Linked DNA regions of Diceros bicornis minor. The protein of the gene in region 1 interacts with the protein of each later gene in a biochemical or structural test. Links are inferred from orthologs where the notes say so. Each region holds a gene or a part of one and is shown in the gene's direction. Other genes may lie near its edges.

Region 1 (7,750 bases):
AAGGCAGCGCAATGAGGTGTGTGCCGAAGCGGGGGATGCACGAAAATTCAGAGAAAGGGCAGAACACTGCAGGTCGCAGCTGCCAGAGGAGGCTCCATGCAGGTGTGGCCCTTGAGCTGGGACTGAAAGTAGGGAAGAGCATTTCCAGCAGAGAGAATAGCATGAGCTGCTTTGCCAGGTAGGCCTGAGAGGAGAACAGGCGTGGTTCCTGGGACAGGAGGAGTCAGGCCAGTGAAACAGGAGAGAACCGCAGAGGCAGGACTTCCACTGGACGGGGATGCCCTTGACCAAATGTCATAAAGGACACTGAGGCCAAGCTTGGGAAGCCCTCCTGGAGGGACGTTTTGGTGAGAAGGAGAAGCATTCTGGCGGTGGCTGCAGAAGGCAGACTGCTGGGGCTTAGTGGAGGGATGGGTGAGAAAATCGAGCCTGGGTCTAGACCATTTTGGGATAAATTTGGCCCCAAAAGAGAACAAAAAATTAGGGGGGTAACTGGAAGAGGGAAAGGGACATTTGAATGTGCTGGTGATTTTCTTCTTCAAGACCTGGCTGACTTGCCCTTTTAGGGCAGAAAGCAGTAAGTCTGGGAGAGGTGCTGGAGAGGGAGAGGGTGAGGAGCAGCTCCCTGAGCACCTATTGCATGCCAGGGCCTGTACTTTCCCGTTTCATTTCCTCCCAACAACCCCTGAAGGCAAATATTCCTGCTCCTACATCACCTGAGGGAGAGGCCAAGAATCACAGCGGTGAGGGCAGGGCGGGGGTTTGATCTCCTATTTGTCTGACTTCAGAGCCCATGCCTACTCCTCTGTGCAGAGAGAGGAGGGGTTGGGTCTATCAAGGAGAAAATGTCTGTTCCAACTGCCTAGAATGCTCTTCTCCTGGCTCTTTCTCATCCTTCAGTGCCCAGCTTAACTATCACCTCCTCAGAGAGGCCTTGGCTACTGAGTCTAAAGGCGCACCCCTTCCCTTCCCAGTCTATCATTCTCTAGTCCTTTTCTGCACTGATTTACCACAATCCTAATTTTCATGTTGATGTATTGGTTTACTTGTTTGCTGTTTGTCTCCCCTGCTAGACCTTAAAGTCCTTGAGGGCAGACACTTGGGCTTGGTCACGGCTACGGGCCCAGGGCTAACACAGGGCCTGGCACATATTCAGCACAACAGAAATCTTCATCAACTGAATAAGGAATGAACAAACAAACAGGTCCAGATCCCTGCTCCACCACTTCCCAGCTTTGTCCTTAGATTAATTACCCTCTCTTAAAGGTTCCCCATTTGAAGATCAGGACTTTCAAGTCGTGATGATTGTGTATTGGAGATTGTGTAAAATGCCTGATTACATGAAGAGCCTTCATAAATGACAGGTATTTTTTGTGCAGTTCTTCTTTCCTTCATCTGAAACACGTACCTTTTTTGGCCTGGCTTAAAGACCTATGGTCCATGTTTCAAAATAATTTTTTGAGATATAACAAATGTGCAGAAAAGTACACACACCAATTTTTACATATATATGTGTGTGCGTATATATATAGCCATACACATACCCATGTAACCACTTCCCAAATTAAGAAGTAGCACATTCTAACACCCAGGAAAGTTTCCACGTTAGCCTCCCCCATCCCCTCCCTCTACCAATGACACCTCCCATTCTTCCCCTCCTCTGTTTGATCTGAGATCATGGCATGTCCATTGTCCCTTCAAGCCATTTCTGATCATTTCTTTTCCCTGTTCCTCTTCTGAGACCTTCCCTAATAACTCTAGCTCTTACGAGTAGGAGAGCCTACCACCAAACCAGAGGTCTCCAAAGTACAGGACATGCAACCCAGTGGAGTACAAGATGATTCCTGCAATTCCACTCCTGGGTATATGCCTGAAATAACTGAAAATAGGTACTCAAACTAGTACATGTACCTGCATGCTCATAGCAGCACTACGGATAATAGCCAAAAGATGGAAGCAGCCCAAATGTCCATCCACAAGTGAATAAACAAATTGTGGTATATACTTATATATTCAGCCATAACAAGGAATGAAGTACTAATACATGCAATCACATGGATGAACCTTGAAAACATTTGTTAAGTGAAAGAAGCCAGACACAAAAGGTCACATATCGCGTGATTCCATTTATACGAAATATCCAGAAGAGATAAATCCATAGTGATAGAACACATATTGGTGGTTGCCAGGGGCTGGGTGGGGATTGGATGCAGAGAAACTGCTTAATGGGTAACGGATTTTACTTTGGAGTGATGGAAATGTTTTGGAACCAGAGGTGGTGGTTCCACAACATTGTGAACATGCTAAATGCTACTGAATTGATCACTTTAAAATGGTTAATTTCATGTTATGTGAATTTTGCCTCAATTTCATGTTATGTGAATTTTGCCTCAATAAATTATTTTGAAAAAATGAATTAGTCACTCGTACTGGTGAGCTGAGGTTTGAATAAGGCACAGACTCCTTAAGCTTTCTTTTTTTTTATGCAACATTTTTTTTTTTTTGTGAGGAAGATCAGCCCTGAGCTAACATCTATGCCAATCTTCCTCTTTTTTTGCTGAGGAAGATCAGCCTGAGCTAACATCCACTGCCAATCCTCCTTCTTTTTTCCCTTTTTCTCCCCAAAGCCCCAGTAGATAGTTGTATGTCATAGTTGCACATCCTTCTAGTTGCTGTATGGGGGACTCCGCCTCAGCGGGACAAGCAGTGCGTCGGTGCGCACCCGGGATCTGAACCCGGGCCGCCAGTAGCAGAGCGCATGCACTTAACCGCTAAGCCACAGGGCAGCCCCTCCTTAAGCTTTCTAAGCTGTGAAGTGCTGGGCAAATACCAGCTGGGGGCGACTGAAGGAAGGAGTGGCCTGGGGGTCAGCAAGTGTGGCTTTGCTGCTCTGCCCTAAGTAGTAATGATATGATAAGAGACAGCTATAATAATTACAGCTAACACTTCTATAATGTTTAATATGAGAGGCACTGTTCCAAGTGCTTTACATCTTAAACTCACCAAATCCTTACAACTCTAAGAGGTGGGTAACTATCCGGTTTTCATTACAGATGAGGAACTGAGTGTTAAATGACTTGTCTAAGTGGCAGAGGAGGAAGTGACCGAGTCCGAATTTGAACCTACGCAGTCAGGCTCCAGGTACTCAAGTCTCAATTCCCAGGCTCTGTGCTAAGTGCTTTCCATGTTTTCTCTCATTTAATCCTGTGAGGTAGGTGTTATTGTTATTATTCCTATTAAAAAGAAAATCCCCTCATGGTCCCTCCATATTCAATGTCTTCCAGTCTTTCCCCTGAATTTATCTTCATGTTGGTCTACATGCCCCTGTCATCTTATCTTGCTTCATCTTCATTTTTCTTTATACTGCTCATATTACTACCTGAATTTATTATTTATGCTGTCTTTCGGTCTCTCATCACTAGAAGGCAGGGCTTTTGATGATTATTGATTTCCCAATACACAGAACAATGTGTGGTACATAATAGGCTCTCGAAAATTTAAACGAAAGAATGGTGCCCACGGTATTGGGTAATCTTGCATGCCTGTGTTCAAGTAAATAAAATCATACTGTACATGTTCTACTTTTTTGTTTTTTGTTTTTTTTTGTGAGGAGATCAGCCCTGTGCTAACATCTGCCAATCCTCCTCTTTTTTTGCTGAGGAAGACTGGCCCTGGGCTAACATCCGTGCCCATCTTCCTCCACTTTATATGGGACGCCGCCACAGCATGGCCTGACAAGCGGTACGTCAGTGTGCGCCCGGGATCCGAACCGGCGAACCCCGGGCCGTCGCAGCAGAGCCCGTACACTTAACCGCTTGCGCCACCGGGCCGGCCCCAACATGTTCTACTTTTTAAAAAAATTTAATGTCTTGGATGTTTAAACATCAGTACAAAGATCTAGCTCATTCTTTTTAACAGATGATATCCTCTATTGTGGAGGTAGCACCGTTTATTTACCCAGTTTCCTACTTAATCCGCATTTTTCGCAGTGTATCTCTAATGCAAATAATATGGCAATAAACACCTCAGCACGTCTTATTGTGGGTATGTGTACACATTTACCTAGAATTAGTGCCTACAAGTGGAATTGCTGGACGGAAGGGTATATACATTAAAAATGTCAACAGATAACGCCAAATTGCCCTCCCGATATCCATTCCTGCCAGCGCTGAATGACCGTACACAACAGGTTTTCATATACCTAGCACCAGACTTGATATTACCAGTCTTTTTAACTTTTTGCCAATCTGATGGGGGAAAAGGAACCCCCAATTTACAGATGAGGAAACTGAGGCTCAGTAAAGTTTAGACACTTTCCTACATAACCGGTAAGTAGCGGAGCGTGTCCGACTCCGGAGAGGACGCGCCAAAGCTGGACACTGTTCTCTATGCTGTGCCTCCTCGCGTATGTCTGGTTATCCCTAGGCCTTGATGCGGGCAGGCTGGCCTTCGTTCCCCCTTGAGGCCTCAAGCCCCTTCCGGGTGGCTAAAAGCCAACCTTCTCTCGATTCCCCACCGCCTGTCCGGGAGCCAGTCAGCACCCGCCCTGCAGCCTCCACAACTCCAAAATGGCGGCCGGCAACCTCGCGAGGCCACGCCTTTCCACGCGAGGCGGGGCTTGAGTTCAGGCCAGAGCGATGGATGCCCGAGCCAAGTTTGAAGTCGGTTGCCAGGCGGGCTCGCGCAGAAGCAAAGAGCCAGTGGCGCCGCAGGTCGGGAGGAGGAGCACCGAGTGGAGGGCTCGTTTGCCTGGGCCGCTGGAGAGTCTCTTCTTCGCGGGCGCTGGGCCGCCATCTTAGATGGCGGGAGTAAGAGGAGAGCGAGAGTGAGACGGGGAGGCTCCCCTGCCGCTCTTCTTGGGCCCCGAAGAGGGCCAGCTGGCTGGGCTTGGGGCGTGTGCCCTGAGGTGCGGAGCCCGAGTGCAACGATGCGAGGGCTGCCTGGGGCCCCGTCCCCTGGGCTGGGGACGCGCCGAATGTGACCGCCTCCCGCTCCCTCACCCGCCGCGGGGAGGAGGAGCGGACCAGACGCCGCAGCCGGACGACGGGACACGGAGGCGGCCCGGCTCCCTCAGGTAGGCGCCAGGGCCGGGCTCTGGATGCCGGGGGAGCCGGGCGGCGGGGCTGAGGGGTTGGTTCCCGGGCGGCGCTGACGGAGCAGCCCCGCGGCTGCCGGGCGCCGGGCCCGGGCCAGGCCGCTGTCACCCCAGGTGGCGCTGGGCGGACGGGGGCTCGGGGCCCGGTGTCATGGCCGGCGAGCGGAGTTCCCACATCCCCACTCAGATTTCCTTGTGCTTCGGGGAAACGTGCCAGCGCCACCCCTGTACCCGGTGCACGTTCCTCATATTTGACAATGCGAAAATCCCCCTGGAGCTGCCCCGTTTCTGTGTTGTCACTCAGATGGGCTAATTCCTTTTCTTTCTGGCCGCGGAGTGGGGAACCCGGGCTTGCATCTTCTCTCGGTGTCCGTCACTCAAGTGACACCCTTTTAGGAAAGACGAGAGGAGTCGGGCACGAGAAGAGGAAATGGGTACAGTGCCCCACCACAAAGGCATAGGGGCCTCGCCTGGGGTTTCAGGCCTCTGTGGGTTACTAATGAAAGGTTTGGGATGCTTTTACTGACGAGTGGCCCCGGGATGCTTTGGAATGACGATCCAGGGCTGTCTTTTGTGTGAAGTGAGAGCCACCAGGACGCTTCAGTTCTGCAGCTGCAGACGCTCTGCAGAGCCGGTCGATGCCCCGAGAAGAGTTTGGACATCGTGAGAGGCGAAGCTGTTGTGTTCATTCATTGTTCTCTTTCCAGGGCTCTGCGTGTGCCCTCTGGTATTCATTCTTTGGTGGGAAGAATGATAGGATCTCCCGTGTTTCCTTGGGATGTGACTGGGTTCTCGAGGATTACTTAATCTAGGTAGGGAATGAATTCAGCGCACGTTCATTGAGTATTTCTGCCTGCCTTGTCCTCTGTGGGCTGAGTGGAGGGAGTCTGCTCTCCATTCTCTTCCGAGGCGTGAAAACAATGCTCTGTGATAAGGATAAGGTTGTGGGAACTTGGAACTGGCTTTGCCTGGGGGAGTTGAGGAAGCTTGTCCACTGGAGGGGACTTTTGTGCTGAGTTTTGGAGTGATGAGTAATTACTCTCCAGGTGAGGAGGAGGGGAGAGCATTCTAAGCTGAGGGAACAGCTGGTACAAAGGCATAGAGATGTGCAGGAGTTGGGATGAGTTTGAGGAGCAGCAAATAATCCGGGGTGCAGGGAGGAAGTGGTGAGAGATGAGGGTCTAAAGGAAAAGTTGACTAGATCGTGAAGAATCTTTGTCGACGATAGTGAACTAGTTGATTTAATTTGGATTATTTTAAATGAATGTTGCTAATTCTTTTTTCATGCTGATAATTAATTTCCCCCTTCTCTTGATGATGTTGAAGCTGATAGTAATTGAAAAGATTTACTTTGTTAAACCCAGTTAAGAACATTTTTTTTATTGATGTTTTAATAGTTTTTAACATTGTGAAATTTTGGGCTGTACATTTTTGTTTGTCCATCACCGTATATATGTCGCCCTTCACCCCTTGTGCCCACCTCCTACCCCCATTGCCCCTGGTAACCACAATACAGTTTTTCTGTCCGTGTGTTGGTTTAAATTCCACATATGAGTGAGATCATACAGTGTTTGTCTTTCTCTTTCTGGCCTTTTTCACTTAATGTAATACCCTCCAGGTCCATCCATGTTGTTGCAAATGGGACGATTTTGTCTTTTTTTATGGCTGAGTAGTATTCCATTGTATATATATACCACATCTTCTTTATCCATTCATCAGTTGAGGGACACTTGGGTTGCTTCCACTTCTTGGCTATAGTGAATAATGCTGCAAGGAACATAGGGGTGCATAAGCCTCTTTGGATTGTTGATTTCGGGTTCGTTGGATAGATTCCCAGTAGTGGGATAGCTGGATCATAGGGTATTTCTATTTTTAATTTTTTGAGAAATCTCCATACCGTTTTCCATAGAGGCTGCACCAGTTTGCATTCCCACCAGCTGTGTATGAGGGTTCCTGTTTCTCCACAGCCTCTCCAACATCTGTTGTTTTTTGTCTTGGTGATTATAGCCATTCTGACGGGCGTGAGGTGATATCTTAGTGTGGTTTTGATTTGCATTTCCCTGATGATTAGTGATGTTGACCATCTTTTCATGTGCCTATTGGCCATCTGTATATCTTCTTTGGAGAAGTGTCTGTTCATTTCCTCTGCCCATTTATTTATTTATTTTTGTGAGGAAGATCAGCCCTGAGCTAACATCCATGCTAATCCTCCTCTTTTTGCTGAGGAAGACCAGCCCTGAGCTAACATCTATTGCCAATCCTCCTCCCTTTTTTTTTTTTTTCCATTTTTCTCCCCAAAGCCCCAGTAGACAGTTGTATGTCATAGTAGCACATCCTTTTAGTTGCTGTATGTGGGACACGGCCTCAGCATGGCCGGACAAGCGATGCGTCGGTGCGCGCCTGGGATGCGAACCCTGGCCGCCAGTAGCGGAGCGTGAGCACTTAACCGCTAAGCCATGGGGCCGGCCCCCTCTGCCCATTTTTTGATTGGATTGTTTGTTTTTTTGTTGTTCAGTTGTGTGAGTTCTTTATCTATTATGGAGATTAACCCCTTGTCAGATATATGTTTTGCAAATATTTTCTCCCAGCTGGTGGGTTGTCTATTCATCTTGATTCTGGTTTTATTTGTCTTGTAGAAGCTCTTTAATCTGATAA
Region 2 (7,995 bases), on another chromosome or scaffold:
GATCATTACTTTTGGGTGGCAGGATTACTAAAGGTCTTTACTTAATTGGTTAATTAATTTTGTTTGCTTATATATGAGTTTTTATATAATGAACATATAGTAATAGTAATAGCTTCCCACTTGGAGGTGCCAGGCTATGTTTCAGTTAGTCCTCACAATGATCATTTCAGGGGTGTTGGTAAACCCATTTTAGAGAGGAGGAACTGAGGCTTAGAGAGGCTAAGCCATATGCTGTGTTAGTTTCCTATGGCTGCTGTAAAAAATGACCAAAAACTTAGCGGCTTAACACAACACAAATTTATTACCTTGCAGTTCTGGAGGTCAGAAGTCTGGAGTGGGTTTCACTGGGCTAAAATCAAGGTGTCAGCAGGGCTGCATTCCTCATGGAGGCTCTAGAGGGAATCCGTTTCCCTGCCTTGTCCAGCTTCTAGAGGCTGCCTGCATTCTTTGGCTTACGGCCCCCGTCCTCCATCTTCAAAGCCAGCAATGGCTGGTTAAGTCCTTCTCACATTGCATCACTCTGGTTCTGACAATCCTGCCTTCCTCTTCCCCATTTAAGGATCTTTGTGATTACATTGGGCCCATCCAGGTAATCCAGGATAATCTCCTGATTTTAAGGTCAGCTGATCAGCAAACGTAATTCCATCTGCACCCATCATTCCCCTTTGCCGTGTAATGTAATATATTCACAGACTCTGGGGATTAGGATGTGGACATCTTTGAGAGGCCATTCTTCTGCCTGCCACACCTGCCCAAGATTTCATAGGTCCTGGGTGATGGATTTGGAATGTGAATGCATTCTGACTCCCACACCCGTGCCCTGAGATTATGCTATGTGGCTGATTATTTGTATATTGAAGAAATTTTTAAACTTTTTATAAGTTGAAAAAAATAAAAGGATCCTCCCTTCCGCCTTATTTAGCCTTATTGCTACGTCATCCATTTGCCCCTACCTAAACACCCCATTCCAGCAAACCCAGTCTGCCCACTGGCCAAGCCCAGCACCCCAGCACCCCCTGCTTGTTTCCACTCCAGGTAGTCCTCACACGGTCTCTTAAACTTGGGAGTGTCACTCTTGGTTGTCTGAGAAGCTGATGACGAGATGGGGTTAGATGTGCAAGGACTTTCTTAGGGAAATGGCTGCAAGACAAAATGGGAGGGAATGGGGAGAGGCTGGGAGAGCATCCGGCACGTGCAGGTGAGAGGGAAGCATCTTAGCCTGGGGTGTGGTTCCAAGGAAAGCAGGCAAGCCCGTCCTGACTACAGAGGAGCCCAGGGTCACCCAGCTTTGCCTTAGTGTCCCTGCCGAGCTCAATCACCGGCTGGGGGCAGCCTGCCAGGCATGACCTTAGCCCCAAAGCACAGCCCAGCAGCTGGAGGCCTGGCCAATTTCTCTCCCAGCAGTGAGATCTAAGAGCTGCATTCTCAGGTTGCCATGTGGGGTCTTCATAGTGACTTACAGTATAACACTCTCACTAGAGAAAGCTCTCTGGAGGGCAGAGATCACGCCTGCCCCACCTCTATGCCCAGCACGCCTAGGTAGAGCATGTGGGAGAACTGTGTGTCTGGCCTTTGCAGCCAGGCCTGCTTCCATCCTGCTTTGTCACTTACACCTTTCCAAGCCTCGGTTTATCTATCTATGGAACGGGGATGATAGCAGTACCTCCCCCATTGGGTTGGTATGAGGATGAAATGAAATGCTGGGCGTCAAGGCCTTCAGTCAGGGCCTGGCACGTGGTAGTGGTAACAGTCAGTAAATGGCTGACATCCTCACTGGAGCACTCTGACCTGCACACGGTAGGTGCTCAGTAAATGGTAATTGTTGTCATTGGAGCATACATACAGTAGGTGCTTGGTGAATGGTATGGTCATCATTGGAATGCACTGACCTGCATATAGCATGCACTCGGTAAATGGGAGTGGTCATTATTGGAGCATAATGACCTGCACACAGTAGGCGCCCAGTTAATATGGTTTGGTAGGTTCCAATCTTTGTTTTAGTGGAAGTGCTTCTAGATGCAGATGGTCACTCCCAATCACTCCATGAGCCTCCATTACCTTATCTATAAAGCAAGGAGAATAACACGCAGGACCGTGGGGGGAGCTAGAGCACGTTAAGCACTTTGCACCCAGTAGGCACTCCAGAGAGTAGTTCCCATCTCTTAAACTTCCAGTGAGCATCTGTGCTTCAAGTCCCAGAGAATAGCTTAAAGCAAGTTTTAAAAATCTCTTTCTGAGCATTTTCTATACTCTATGAAGCATAGAAGCATTTTCTATGAAGGTGCAACCATCTCATCGAACCAAACAGTTGTCTTTTGTTAACACACGGCTTGTGGAGTGGCACTAGTCTCTATCTCATGAGCATTTAATGAGAGCTGTTTAATATAAACAGTGAGAGGAAAGGTGCTGATTTCTCCAACTGCTGCTCATGACGGAGGTGCTGTTGATACCAGAATTATGGTTGAATGGCCTTTTCTGAATGTGATATTTTATTAGAAATATTTAGTGATCTGAACCAGAAACCAACCAGATGATTTTTTTAAACTCACTTATTTTCTTATAATAATAATAATAATGATTATATTATGTACCAAGTATGTCAGGCACTATTTTAAGTGCTGGGGATAAGACCAGTGAACAAGAGAGATAACCCTCACGGAGTTTATATTCAAGTGGGTGATGGTGTGGTTCCGATGATAAACGAGTAATCCTAAATGCTCTGAATGTTAGGAAAGAGAAAGGACAGAAGGGGTGTGGATGCAGAGATCAGGGCATTTCCCCTAGTCTTGATGGGTGGGAGAAGGTGGAAGTGATGTTTAAGATTAGTAAAGGTGAGCCAGGACAAGAGTACAGTGAGGCTTGAGGGGGAGGGTAATGAGGGAAAAGTGTTCCAGGAGGAGGGAACAGCATGAGCAAAGGCCCAGGGGTAGAAAGACAAGTTGGAACTGAAACAAATTCAGAGTATTTGGAGCGAAGAATGCAAGGAGGAAGAGGCAAGGAGGTGGGACAAGTCTACAGGGGCCTATTAAGAGTCTGGACTTCATCCTGAGGGAAAGGGGGGCCACAGAGAGCTTTAGGGAAAGGGGGATGAGGTGTGGATTGAACTGATGTACATCTGAGAAAGATGAACGTGGACAGGAGGATGGGCTAGAAGGGAGGAAGACTTGAGGCGGTAGGCCAGGAGAGTGACACCAGGGTTGTTATGATGAGGGGAGGAAGTGGACCCATAGGAAGGGCTCTAAGGAGGTTGAGTTTATAGGCCTGGTGACCACTGGCTTGTTGGGTAGGGAGGGGGCAAGAATAGCCAGGAGCAGAAATATCTGCAATTTCTTTCCATCTTCCCCAAGAGGTTTTGCATTCATCACTTATCTTCTCACAGCGTCCTGGCTGTGCCTGCAGGTGGCTTTTCTGAGGTCACACAGGGAATTAGCTGCAGAACCTATTCAGATGCTCACCCACAATCTGGGCCTGTCTTCTCTCCCTGGCACTTATCACAGTTTATAATTTTATGTTTGTTGAATGGCATTTGATTAATGTCTCTCTCCACTGCTACGCTCCATGAGGGCAGGGACTGTTTCTCCTTTTGCTTTCAAGGTTCTCAAAATGCATTTATATAGAACAAATGATGGAAAGAACCAATAATCCTATCAGTGCTTAGTCACTGAAGTCGTTGCTTCCAGTCTGGACTTAACTAGACACTTAACTAGCTGTGATTCCTTCCTTTCAAGTACACATTGCTTGACCTAGCAAACCCCTAACAAAATTTTCCTAAAACTATTCACCAAGTGTTTAATATATATGTATAAGGATCTTCATTTCAGTGATATTTGTAAAAGGAAAAACAACAAAACAGCATAAATGTCCAACGTTAGGAAGTTCGTTGAGTAATTGTGGTGCATCTAGAGTAGAATAAGCCATTAAAATAATGATCTATTTTTGATATAGATATTCTATAATAGTAGAGTTTAATGAATTTTTTTGTGAAGAAACAGAACAAAATTATCTATACTCATAGTTTTAAAATTTGAAAGGTATACTCCAAATTGTTACTGATGTTTATACACAAGTACCGGAATAGAAACGATTTTTATTTCCTTCTTTGGGTTTCTTCTCTGAATTTGCTCCAAGGCACTTATATTATTTCCTAATAAGAAATAAACGCAACTTTCTATTCCCTGGGAGGAGATATCAGTGTCCTGAAGTCAAATCAGATAAGGACTATTAAATACTGCCCATTATATTTAGCAAAAAGAAGGCATCGGGTGGCCACAGTGAGAGCAGTTTTGGTAGAGGCAGAGCCACTTGGTCAGCAAAATAGAAATAATTATGTTCTAAAAAAATAAGTTCTCAAAAAAAAAATTCTCAGGAATCTTGTTTGGACCAAGTGGGGGGCAGCGGGATCAAATATATGTGCAAATATATTTGTCCGTTGAGAAAAATGCTCAAAAGTTGCGCTCAGGCCCTCTTACCAGGCCAGTTACCAAAACTAGTGAGCATGCGCGAAAGTACAGGGAGGCGAGGACAATCGGGCTTGTTTTAAGCAGCGCAAGAGAAAAGCAAGGCCTTACCATTTCTGAATTGAGAAAGTGGAGAAAGGAATCATGTAAAAAGGTTAAAAAAAAAATCAAAGGGAGCTCAACCGCATTTCTTGCAACGACAGTCTCGCACGCGGAGCCACAGCTCGGGGTTACTCGGCGGCGAGAAGCTTCACGCTTCCCACGGTGCAAGCAGAAAAGCAAAGCCCGCTGCACTGAACCTGAAGTGCCAGCTCGACCAATCAGAGGGCAGAATTTGCCTGCGTCGCCGGTGATTGGAGGAGAGGGGCGGGGCGGGGCGGCGGCTCGGGCGCGTGCGCGCCCCTGGCGGCTGCGCTCGCGCCACCTCTGGGCAGTTTCTGCGCGCTCGGAGTGCGAGCTGCGTGCGAGCTGCCGGTCTCCATCTGCTCTCCCGGCTGCCCGCCCCGCTCGCCCCCGCCATGCCGGTGGACCTCAGCAAGTGGTCCGGGCCCTTGAGCCTGCAGGAAGTGGACGAGAAGCCGCAGCACCCGCTGCAGGTCAAATACGCCGGGGCAGAGATCGACGAGCTGGGCAAAGTGCTGACGCCCACCCAGGTACCCGAGGCCGGCGGGGCGGGGACCCGGCGGAGGGGGGAGGGGCGCCCCGGCCTCCGTGCGCCCGATCCGCCGACGGAAGGGCGTCGCGGGGCCCGCGCCGCAGGCCTGAGGTCCCGCCGAGCCCCGGGAACCTGCACGTGGTGGGCGGGGCTCGGCCTGCGGCGGAGGTTGAGCCGCTTTCGGGGACTCGCAGGCGCGGGCAGGGCCTAGGCCCGGAAACGGCCGGGCCCGCGGGGCGGGGAGGGGGCCGTGCCCGGGAAGAAGGGAGCCGTGGCCGCCCCACGCCCCCGGCGCCTGCGCTCGGTGTCAGCGTTTCAGGCCTCAGTTTGCGGCGCAGAAGCGCCACCCGAGGGCATGTGACGCGTTATGTAATGGGTGAACAGCGGTGCTCAGCGGTTCCTCCCTTGGTACGGCGGTCGAGAGAGTCAAGAGATTAAGTGCGTTCTGCGTCCGGAAGGTTCGAGGGCAGCGCTTTGGCCTCTGACGCCCATGGCTGAGGCCAGGGCAGCAGACCAGGGCCTGGTTGCTCAAAGAGGAGACGCGAGAGAGCCTGACACCGTCGTGGAGCTCCGGGGCGGCGGTGTGAATAAACTGCCCTCATGGTTTATTGCTTTGCCTGTTGACAGAGTTCATTGTTTTGGATGTTTAAATATACAGTAGCCCCCCCCTTACCTGGAGGGAATAGTACGTTCCATGATTCCCGATGGGTGCTTGGAATGCATGGCACGGAACCCTGTGTGTATGTTTTTCCCCTAACTAAGGGGCAGGTATCGTATACGGTGTGGATGCGCTGGACAAAGGAATGATTCATGTCCCCAGCAGGGGGAGCGGGCTGGCACAAGATTTCATCACGCGGCTCCGAAGGGCGCACTTATGAATTATTTATTTCTGGAATTTTCCATTTAGTATTTTCAGAACGCGGTTAACTAGGGGTGGCTAAAACCGAGGAAAGCAAAACCGCGGATGAGGGGGGACTACTGCGAAGTGCCCGTCTCTCAGCCTTCCTTTTCCCAGACTCACTGTCCATGCCTGGCCACCTGGGCTCTCGCATCTCCTGTGCACTTTTAAAAGCCCCATTAATTCAGATTCCACTTGAACAGGCCCCGGGTACCCTCCTGGTCACCAAATCTGGAGACCCTCCCATTCCAGACAGTGTAAAGTTGTAGTTGAGAGGGCTCGCCACCGGCTTCGGGATCCTGACCCCACCTCTTTCTGTTAATAACATGCCAGGATACCAGCCTTACAGTGCTGTTGGGACTAAAATAAATAACGTATGTCAGACTTTAGCTCCTGGCTCTTAGGAGAGTCAATACACTTTAGCTTTTATTAATAATTACCCTGGGGGCCGGCCTGGTGGCGCAAGCGCTTAAGTGCCTGCGCTCTGCTGCGGCAGCCCGGGGTTCACAGGCCTGGATCCTGGGTACGCACGGAAGCACGGCTTGTCAAGCCGTGCTGTGGCGGGGTCCCACATGGCGTAGAGGAAGATGGGCACGGATGTTAGCCCAGGGCAAATCTTCTCAGCAAAAAAAAAAAAGTGGAGGGTTGGGATCTGATGTTAGCTATGGCTGATCTTCGTCACCAAAAAAAAAAAAAACAAATTACTCTGTTTTACCTTTGAGGAACCTGAGGTCAAAGAAAGAGTTGGCTTCTTCAGCATTTCTGACTTTTTAACTCCAAACTGGTTCCTTCCTGCAGGTTAAGAACCGGCCCACCAGCATTGCCTGGGATGGCCTTGATCCAGGTAAACTCTACACCTTGGTCATGACAGACCCGGATGCTCCCAGCCGGAAGGACCCCAAATACAGGCGAGTTGGGGAAAGTTGGGGAACAGCGGGTCATTCACATATGACCTGGAACTTCTCGCACTGTGTCACTCACTGGATGTTCTGTGCTAGAAGTAGACCCAGTTTGGGATGTTCACATCTGTGCTTAAGCCAGAGTGTGCATTTCCCTCCCCTTCACTTCCTAGAGCAGAGTCTAGAAACTGCAGCCGAGAGCCAGATCTGCCCGAGGCCTGTTTTTGTACAGCCTCGTGAACTGAGAATGGTTTTTACATTTTTTAACGATTGGGAAAAAACTGAAAGGAGAATAATACTTTGTGACCTGTGAAAATTACATGAAATTCAAATTTCGGTGTCCATAAATAAAGTTTTATTGAAACACAGTCATGATAACTTATTTATGTCTTATCTATGGCTGCTTTCACACTACAGCCACAGAGCTGAGTAGTTGTGAAAGAGACAGTCTGAACTGCACAGCCTAAAACATTTATTGTCTGGTCCTTTCCAGAAAAAGTTTGCAGGCCCCTGCCCTAGAGAGTCTCAGAGGGAGGGAGGGAGGTGTTGGGTCTTCTCTTCTGCAGACACATGACGTTTGCGCTGCCCAAGAAAGCAGAACTGTCTTATTCATCGCTGCATCCTGGCACAGAGCACGTGCTGCATACACATTTGCTGATTGCAGTGAGTGCATACTGATTTCCCATGGTATTGACCATCCTGTGTTCCTCCTCGCAGGGAATGGCACCATTTTCTGGTGGTCAACATGAAGGGCAATGACATCAGCAGTGGCACGGTCCTTTCTGATTATGTGGGCTCTGGGCCTCCCAAGGGCACAGGTTAGTAAAGGCTGCTTTTGGAGGAGGTGGGAGGGGAGCCTGGGTGCACATCAGGATTGGCCTAAAGCGCTGCAAATTTTATTCTGGCTCTTAGAGCTTTATTCTTTTGTTTATGAGAGCCCTTACCCTAGTGCGGAGTTCAGGCAGCACAGTTCACCTCCAAGGCAGTTGCCTGTCAGAGACATTGAGACCTGCGGTAGTGTCAGATGGCTAGAAGCTTGGGTTCTGGTCAGAGTGGCCCCTCCGTCAGCATTGCCTCTTAGCCGCT
Region 3 (7,746 bases), on another chromosome or scaffold:
CTCTCCCTCTAAAGGTGTGGGGGGAGGACTGAAAATTCCAACCCTCCAATCACATGGTTGGTTCCCTTAGCAACCAGCCCCCCTCCCTAGTGTTTTCCAAAAGTCACCTCATTCACATAAACTTAGGTGTGGTTGAAGGGGTTTGTTATGAATATCAAGACACATTTATTGCTCTTTCATTTAGGAAATTCCAAGGGTTTTAGGAGCTCGGTGCCAGAAACAAGACAAAGACCAAATATATATATTTCTTAATTAAATCACAATATAACAGTGTCTAATATCGAGAATACACAAAGAACTGTTATAACTGAACAATAAAAATACAATCTAATTTTAAAATGGTCAAAGGATTTGAATAGACATTTCTCTAAAGTTAGAAGATATACAATAGCCAAAAACTTCATGAAAACAGGTTCTACATCATTAGTCATTAGGGAAATGCAAGTCAAAACCACAATGAGATACCATTTTATCTCCCTAGGATGGCCATAATAAAAAAGACAATAACAAGTGCTGGCGAGGATGTGGAGAAATTGGAGCCCTCATTGCTGGTAGGAATGTGAAATGAAACAGCCGCTTTGGAAAACAGACTGGCATTTCCTCAAATGTTACACATGGGATTACTATACAATTACCCAACAATTCTACTCCTGGGCATATACTGAAGAGAATTGAAAATACACGTTCACACAAAAACTTGTACACAAGTGTATATAACAGCTTTATTCATAACGGCCAAAAAGTGGAAATAACCCAAATATTCATCAACTGATGAATGGGTAAACAAAATGTGGTTTATCCATACAATGGAATATTATTCAGCCACAAGAAGAATGAAGCCTGCACTACAAGATTTGCTAAAAAAAAAAAAAAAAAAAACTACAAGGCTGCAGAAAAAATTGATATTAGTGGGAAACTTGCCTCTATCAGAAAGATCGCACGGCACTATAAATGGCAAATAAGTGGATAAATATACAAGCTATGTTTTTTTTCTACTTAAGTTTTGTGAAATACATTTGGCAAAAAAAAAGGAAAGAAGTACTGATACATGCTACAATGTGGATGAACTTTGAAAACATTATGCTAAGTGAAAGAAGCCAGGCACAAAAGGCCACAGACAGTACGATTCCATTTATATGAAATGTTCAGAATCGGCAAATCCGTGGAAACAGAAAGTAGATTAGTGGTTCCCAGGGCCTGGGGGAGGAAGGAGTGAAGAATAACTGCTAATGAGTTCTTTGGAGCCTATTTTGGGTGATGAAGATGCTCCGGAATTAGACAGTGATGATGGTGACACAATCTTGAGTGACTTTTGTACTAAAAACACTGAATTGTACACATTAAAACGGTAAATTTTACGGTATTGAATTATAACTCAATTAATTTTTTAAATGCAGAATGAAAGAAAGAGAATGAGGGGGGACTTATTCCCTGCAGTTCAGAGATTCCAGAGGGCATAGGTGGAAAGGATTAGGAGGGAGGAAAAGCGAGAGAGTCTGTGTCTGGATGGAGGAAGGAGGTGACACCTGGGCAGTGAAGGGCCGGGTGGTGTCAGGCATAGGAGGCCTGGAGGGATGGGGGTCAAGAGTTCCAGGAGCACTGGTCCAGCAGGTCCCAGAGGGTGGAGGGGCCGAGGCATCTCAGGAAGCCAACAGGCTTGGCTTGATTGATGGTGTTGGGAGGTAGTCCCAGCCCAGGTGACTGAAGGAAGAGAAGGGGGCTTCAGGGGCGGGCACTGAGAGATCTAGAGATGGGAGCTTCCAGGAGTGAGACAACTGAGCAAAACAGGGTGGCGATGGGGATGGGGAGCTTTTCCCCCTGGCTTGAACGTGGGTCCCAGATCTTGAACATCGAGTATGAAGCAAAATCCTACAAATCCCCAAGAGAAAGAGCAGGTTCGAAAATTCCAAGCACCTCTGCATTCTGTCGGATCTCTCTGTACCAAAACAAGCCAGAGAAGGTTAGATAAATAAGCAAAAGGGATCCAGGGCCTGGGGCCAGCCTGAGTGGTTAGTTTCCTACTGATGTTTACAGAGTTAGGAGCTGGTAAGTGAAGATAAGGACTATCAGAAATAGAAGTGCTAAGTTTGTTGGGCATTCAAACAAGCATTCATTAAGCATCTAGACACACCAGGGGCTGCACTTGGAATGCTAGACGCAGACTCGGTGCTGCCTCCAAGAAGCTTGTAGGCTGGGGGGAGGGCAGGCCGAGTGGGGACTATAAACAAAGCACTAAGTAAATAACTGCAGAAGTATTCATTACAAACATGCAGGAACAGGGAGGAAAGGAGTAAAGTGCTCTGACTGTGTATAACAGGGATCTGATGGAGCCTGGGGGTCAGAGCAAGTTTCTCTGAGGAAATGACACTTCAGCTATCCAGCAAGGTGGTGGGCCCTGGGGCAGGAAGGAGCCTGAAGGACTAGCTGGAGCTAACAGCTAACAGCGGGAGTGGTGGAGAATAGAGAGACTGGGCTAGAGAGGCAGGAAGAACCAGATGTGGGGGTGGGTGGGGCATTCCGGGCTTTATTCCAAGAACAAAGGGAATAGAGGGGAAGCAAGTGGGGGCAGAGGAGAGCCACAAGAGAGGACAGTAGAGCAGAGTGGTTAACAGCATGGAGCCGGACAGCCTGGGTTCAAATCTCAGGTCTGCCACTTACTTGTGACCAAGGTCCAGGTTAGCTAACCTCCCTGTGCCTCAGTCTCCCCCTCTGTAAAATGGGATAATAATGGTGCCTATTTCAGGGGATCGTCACGCGAATTCAATGATAAAAGCCTGGTGCAAACTGAGTAAGGAGGAATTGCTGACATGAGCGGGCTGAACAGGAGCAAGCCTGGACTCTCCCCCACCTCCAGACAGCCATTCATTGTGGGTGCTAAGGGCTGTTGGCACCCAGGAAAGTTCTGGCTTCTCTAGTGGCTGCCACTTTGAAGACAAGAGTCTCTTGGCCTTGGATGACCATTCTGGCAGCATTGTCCTCTGGCTCTGGCTGTCCCATGAGCTCCACGAAGACAGGGACCATGCTCACCCTATACCCCAGGGCTGGCTCAGGGCTGGCACACATGGGGGGTGCTCCATACCCTTTGGAAAAATGGATTTTGAATGAATGAACGCATGAACAGGTGGATCTGTGGAAGGATACTCACACTCTCCATGAATTAGTGAGCACTCCTTCTGTGCAGGCACCTACTAAGTGCCTCACATAACTCATTCCGTTTCCCTCTCACCACCGTCTTGTGAGGAGGCTGCTAGGAGACACTTTCCATAGGAGATATCTCGGGAGTGTGTTCTCTGTGGGGGACCCTGGTCATACTTCACGGAGACCAATTATTGAGAAATGCATTTAATTGGTAGCCCAAAAGAAGGGCTTTTTCCTGGAAGTTGGGATCCTGGAAGCAGGAATTCAACTGGAAAGCAAGCTATGCTGACTGTCGTTTCTCTAAAGATCTAGCCACAGACCCTCTATAGCAAGGGTCTCAGATCTCATCTTCCTGAGCAAGGCACAGGGCGATGGGTCGCTTCACCTGTTTTTGGAGGGAGAAGTGGTGCATCCTAGCAAGGCAGAGTGCCGCCCCCCCCCCCCCCCCCCCCCCGCAGCCTGGTGGAGCTCAGAGCAGCCTCCGACACACACCATTTCAGAGAGCACAGAGAGCGGATCAAGTGGAAAGGCTGTGGGAGACCTGCCTTTGGTCTTCCCCTGCCGCTTGGCTTCCAGCCAGAGTCCCACACACACCCTCCTGCAGGCCTGTTCCCCCAGGGAATGCTTGTGCTCTGAGTCCCTGCTGCAGGCTCACTGCAGCTCAGCCCCAGGCCACCCCTCCTTCCGGCACGGCACAGCGCTGGTGCCAGCTACCCCTGCCCCCAGCTACCCCTGCCCCGGCAGCTCTGCCAGCCGGCTCCTCCAGAGACTAGTATTTTGGGAGAGTGCTGAGTTCAGCACTGCTGCGAGGTGCAGTCCGCAGCATCCTTCTGTCCTCAGCCGGCCCTCCAGAGCGGCCCTGGGGGCCCGGGTGGCCCTCCCTACGTGCAGCAGTCCCTCCTACACGAGTCTCTATGTCCAACCACACCCACCACCCACCGGACAGCCCCGAGGCTGTCATGGCAGGTGGCGGAGGAACTGTGGGTGGGAGAAGCAGAGTTGTCCAAGGGGCATGGCCAGCCAAACCCCTACTTCTAGAAAAACAACTAAGGTCAGGCTCTCACAAGCACCCCCAGAACCTGCCCCCAGCCTAAAGCCTGGGGTCATCAGCTTCCCAGGCCTCAAAGCCAAAGGAGCAGGCTGGCCCTCAGCCAGCTGACCTCAGGGGGAGGGAGCGTGGGGGTGCAGGGCACACAGCAGTGCCGAGAGGTTACATAAGCACCTCTGTTTGCAGCCTGCTCTTTGCCCTGGCAACCAGGACTAGAGTGACAGCAAAGCCCTGCTCTGACGGAGGAGGGGCCTCAGCCAGGACTGCAAATCGAGTCCAGCTTGGAGTAGGCCCAGGTCCTCCCAAGGTGCTTGTGTCCGGGTGGCAGATTAGCTGCCGGAGCCCAGGCAGCTGCCCGCCCTTCTCTCTCTGCTTATCGGAGGTCTCTGTCCCACCAGGTGGGCCCCTGGGGTGGGGTGTGAGGGATGGAAAGTGTACCCCAGCAGAGGGCCCGTCAGCTCTGAAGGTTCCTTCTGTTCCAGGTGCCCATGGGCTGGAAAATGAGCCTGGCCATGGCAGCCCTGCTTCTGGGTCTTACGATGGTGGTGACAGAAGACGAGGAGGAAAACGACCCGTGCGTCTACGAGGCCCTGTCTGACAATGATGCTGTCCTCTGCAAGTAAGGCTGGCAGGACCCCACACAGCAACCGGGTGGGTGGAAACCAGAGAAGAGGTCTCAGGGAGGGGTGTTTCCAGAACCAAGGAGCACTGTCTCCTAAGGCAGCCTTTGTGGACAGGCAGAAAAGAAGGCAGCTCTGGAGACCACCTTGATGGAGGACGGCATTGGGGGAAGGACTTTGAGACGGGCTCCTGCCTTCCATAGGCAGTTCTCCCAAGATCAGGAGGCTCCCCCGGGGCCTCCAAACTTGAGGGCCCTGTGGTGCTGGCCTCACCCTCCCTGCTGGGACCCCAAGAGAGACCATCCCTCCCTACAGCCCGGAATGCTCCCTTCCCCCCAACAAAGTGGCCGTTGTAAAGAAATGTGGCAGTTGACAGAGGGAGTGTGATTGGACCCTCCGTGGGTGAGAGGTGCTGGTTTGCTTTTGGGTAATGAGGCCCCGGAAGTGTCGGGACAGGCAGGCCTTTTAGGGAGTGAGGTCACTGGACGTTGTCCAGAGCAGAAGCTGGGTTCGGAGGCTGGCCTCTTCCCTCCTCAGGGCACGAGCTTCTCCCCCTCTGCATCGAGGTCCAACCCCCTCCTCATGACTGTTGGTTAGAAAGGCCAGTCCTAATTGTCCTGGCCTCGTGGGTCATCCTGAGAGCTGCCCAGGCCACTTTGCTGCCAACCCCCTCTGCCAGTCTGGTGACCAAGGTGGCCGCATCCCGCTGAAGCCATCGGAAGTGAGGGGAGGAAGAACTCGCACGTCTTACTCCGTCTTCTTGCGTATATTTGAGTGCTACAGACACTACTTTCAGAAAGATAAATAAACGCTTTCCCTTAAAAAGTTAGGTAGTTGAATCCAAAAAATAAAATAAAATAAGTTTTGCTTCTATCACTACGTTTTTAAAACTCTAGCGAACAGTTCTGAGTGAGGTTTGTGTGGGCGCAGGAGGGAACGCGGCTGCGTCTCTCATGTGGGCGCCCGTCCTCCAGGTGCTCTGCTGAGTGGAACCTTCCGGGCTCAGGACGGCTTTTTACTCTGGTGGTAGAAGGTCAAGCCCCACGAGCTGAGAGGTCAGCTGGGCCAGGGCAAGGCAGGGGCAGGCCACGAGAAGGGCCCCTTATGGGGGCCCTCTGCGCTTCCCATGTTCACTGTGGGACACACAGAAAATGATCCTCTGTGTATGGTCACTGGAGGTGACCTGGGCCCAGCTGCCCTTGGCTCTGCCCTGCGGAGGTCCACATGCTGGCGCCCTGGTGGCCTGTCTCCGTGGCACACGTGGGAGCTCTGGGCACCTGTTACATGCTTTAGACTCCTGGACTTATTCCATTGTTATCAGGAACCCACCAAACAGGTCTTCTCATCCCCATCTTGCAGCTACCCACGGTGCTTACACAGCTGACAAGAGGCAGAGGGGCATTCAACCCCCCTTGTCTGGCGCTACACTCACGCTCTTCCCCCACCCACCTCCAGCTGCCGACCCTCCTCCAGGGCCTGGAGCTTCTCAAACTCCGGTAAAGGGGGGCTGTGTTAGTCCATTCTGGCTGCTATCACAAAATACCATAGACAGGGGGCTTACAAACCATAGACATTTATCTCTCACAGCTCTGGAGGTTGGGAAGTCCAAGATCAAGGTGCCGCCAGATTCTGTGGCTGGTGAGAACCTGCCATAGAACCTTCCTGGTTCATAGATGGCTGTCTTCTCGCCGTGTCCTCACACAGTGGAAGGGGTGAGAGAGCTCTCTGGGGACTCTTTTAAGCACAGTAATCCCAGTCATGAGGGCTCCACCCTCATGACCTAGGCACCTCCCAGTGGCCCCACCTCCTAATCCCAGCACACTGGGGCTAGGATTTCAACATATGACTTTTGGGGGACACAAACATTTAGTCCATTGCAGGAGCCATTCTCAGGACTCCATAGATTACACCTAGACCCCCCAGTTTGAGAAGCATGGACTTACAACACTAGGGTTGTATGCTAGGACAATGTCTTTTGATTGTAAACCATCATTGCAAAAGGGAAGCTTTGTCTTTATTACTGCTGAAGATTTTTGTTTGTAAAAGACCATCACTGAATGAGAACACCTCATGGACATATCAGACCCCCAAGGAGAGATCAGTACCCCCTGCACTGGGTCCCTCCCCAGGATCCCTGCTCAGCTCAGGCTTCTGACCTTGCCAAGAGAACCCCCAGAGAAGCCACTCCTCTCATGGGCATTTAAAGTCTAATAGAGAATTCTTGTAGTTAGGACTCAATGCCTAAAAATGTTAATCCATAAAGGAGAAATTTTATGTACAGTGACAAGCAGTGGGAAATATTGTTGAGAGAAAAGCTCTTCCAGAATAATACCTCACCTACTCCTGAGAGAAGCCAGACTAGACTGACAACAGCACTGAGAGTCAGAACCCCTGGCTCAAGATCAGAATCAAGAGAACCACAGTCGTCCAACCTGAAGCCAAGGAGTGAATCCACTCAGCAACCCTCTCCCTGCTGCCCTGCACAAGGGCCCTGGTGGCCTCTCCTGGTGACCAGGAGCTGCGCCCCCAAGCCCTGTCCTTTGTGCTGACAAGCTCATCCTCCAGCGAGGGCCTCCTTGTCTCAAGGCAGAGGCTGACTTTCTTTAACTCACCCCTTTCTTCCTAGTTTTGCCCCAGGTGCTGCATAGAACAAGTCTAGTTTCTCTTCCTCTTGATGGTTGTTCAAATGTTTGAAGACAGATGTCACCCCCCCACACACACACACCTTCGCTTGAAGCTCTTTCTAATCTGGGCATCCACCTCCATCCTTCATGGCTCCTCGGGGGCCTTGGTTCTGGGCCTCTGGGCCTCACCTTCAGGAAGGGTTGGTTGGAGACAGACCTGTTGCTCTTTCTAAGCATGGCGCCCCACACTTTCACACTGAGAACCACACAATAGAGGGTGGGGGTGCCCCCCGAGTCTCCTCATACCTCTGTGAAG

Evidence for each region.
Region 2: the proteins of RAF1 (region 1) and PEBP1 form a complex in vitro, tested with the Homo sapiens proteins (3 studies listed by BioGRID and IntAct, with this or other methods). The link is inferred for Diceros bicornis minor from reciprocal best matches to the Homo sapiens genes RAF1 and PEBP1.
Region 3: the proteins of RAF1 (region 1) and PEBP4 form a complex in vitro, tested with the Homo sapiens proteins (2 studies listed by BioGRID). The link is inferred for Diceros bicornis minor from reciprocal best matches to the Homo sapiens genes RAF1 and PEBP4.

Annotation. Positions count from the first base shown.
Region 1 is NC_080741.1:85,205,965-85,213,714, reverse strand, and holds the start of RAF1 (RAF proto-oncogene serine/threonine-protein kinase), read left to right. Parts: upstream 1-4,741; 5' UTR 4,742-5,074; intron 5,075-5,802; 5' UTR 5,803-5,907; intron 5,908-7,750. UniProt on the Homo sapiens protein: Serine/threonine-protein kinase that acts as a regulatory link between the membrane-associated Ras GTPases and the MAPK/ERK cascade, and this critical regulatory link functions as a switch determining cell fate decisions including proliferation, differentiation, apoptosis, survival and oncogenic transformation.
Region 2 is NC_080774.1:15,124,116-15,132,110, forward strand, and holds the start of PEBP1 (phosphatidylethanolamine-binding protein 1), read left to right. Parts: upstream 1-4,923; 5' UTR 4,924-4,975; coding exon 4,976-5,110; intron 5,111-6,808; coding exon 6,809-6,918; intron 6,919-7,626; coding exon 7,627-7,727; intron 7,728-7,995.
Region 3 is NC_080750.1:70,978,354-70,986,099, forward strand, and holds the start of PEBP4 (phosphatidylethanolamine-binding protein 4), read left to right. Parts: upstream 1-4,674; coding exon 4,675-4,805; intron 4,806-7,746. UniProt on the Homo sapiens protein: Promotes AKT phosphorylation, suggesting a possible role in the PI3K-AKT signaling pathway.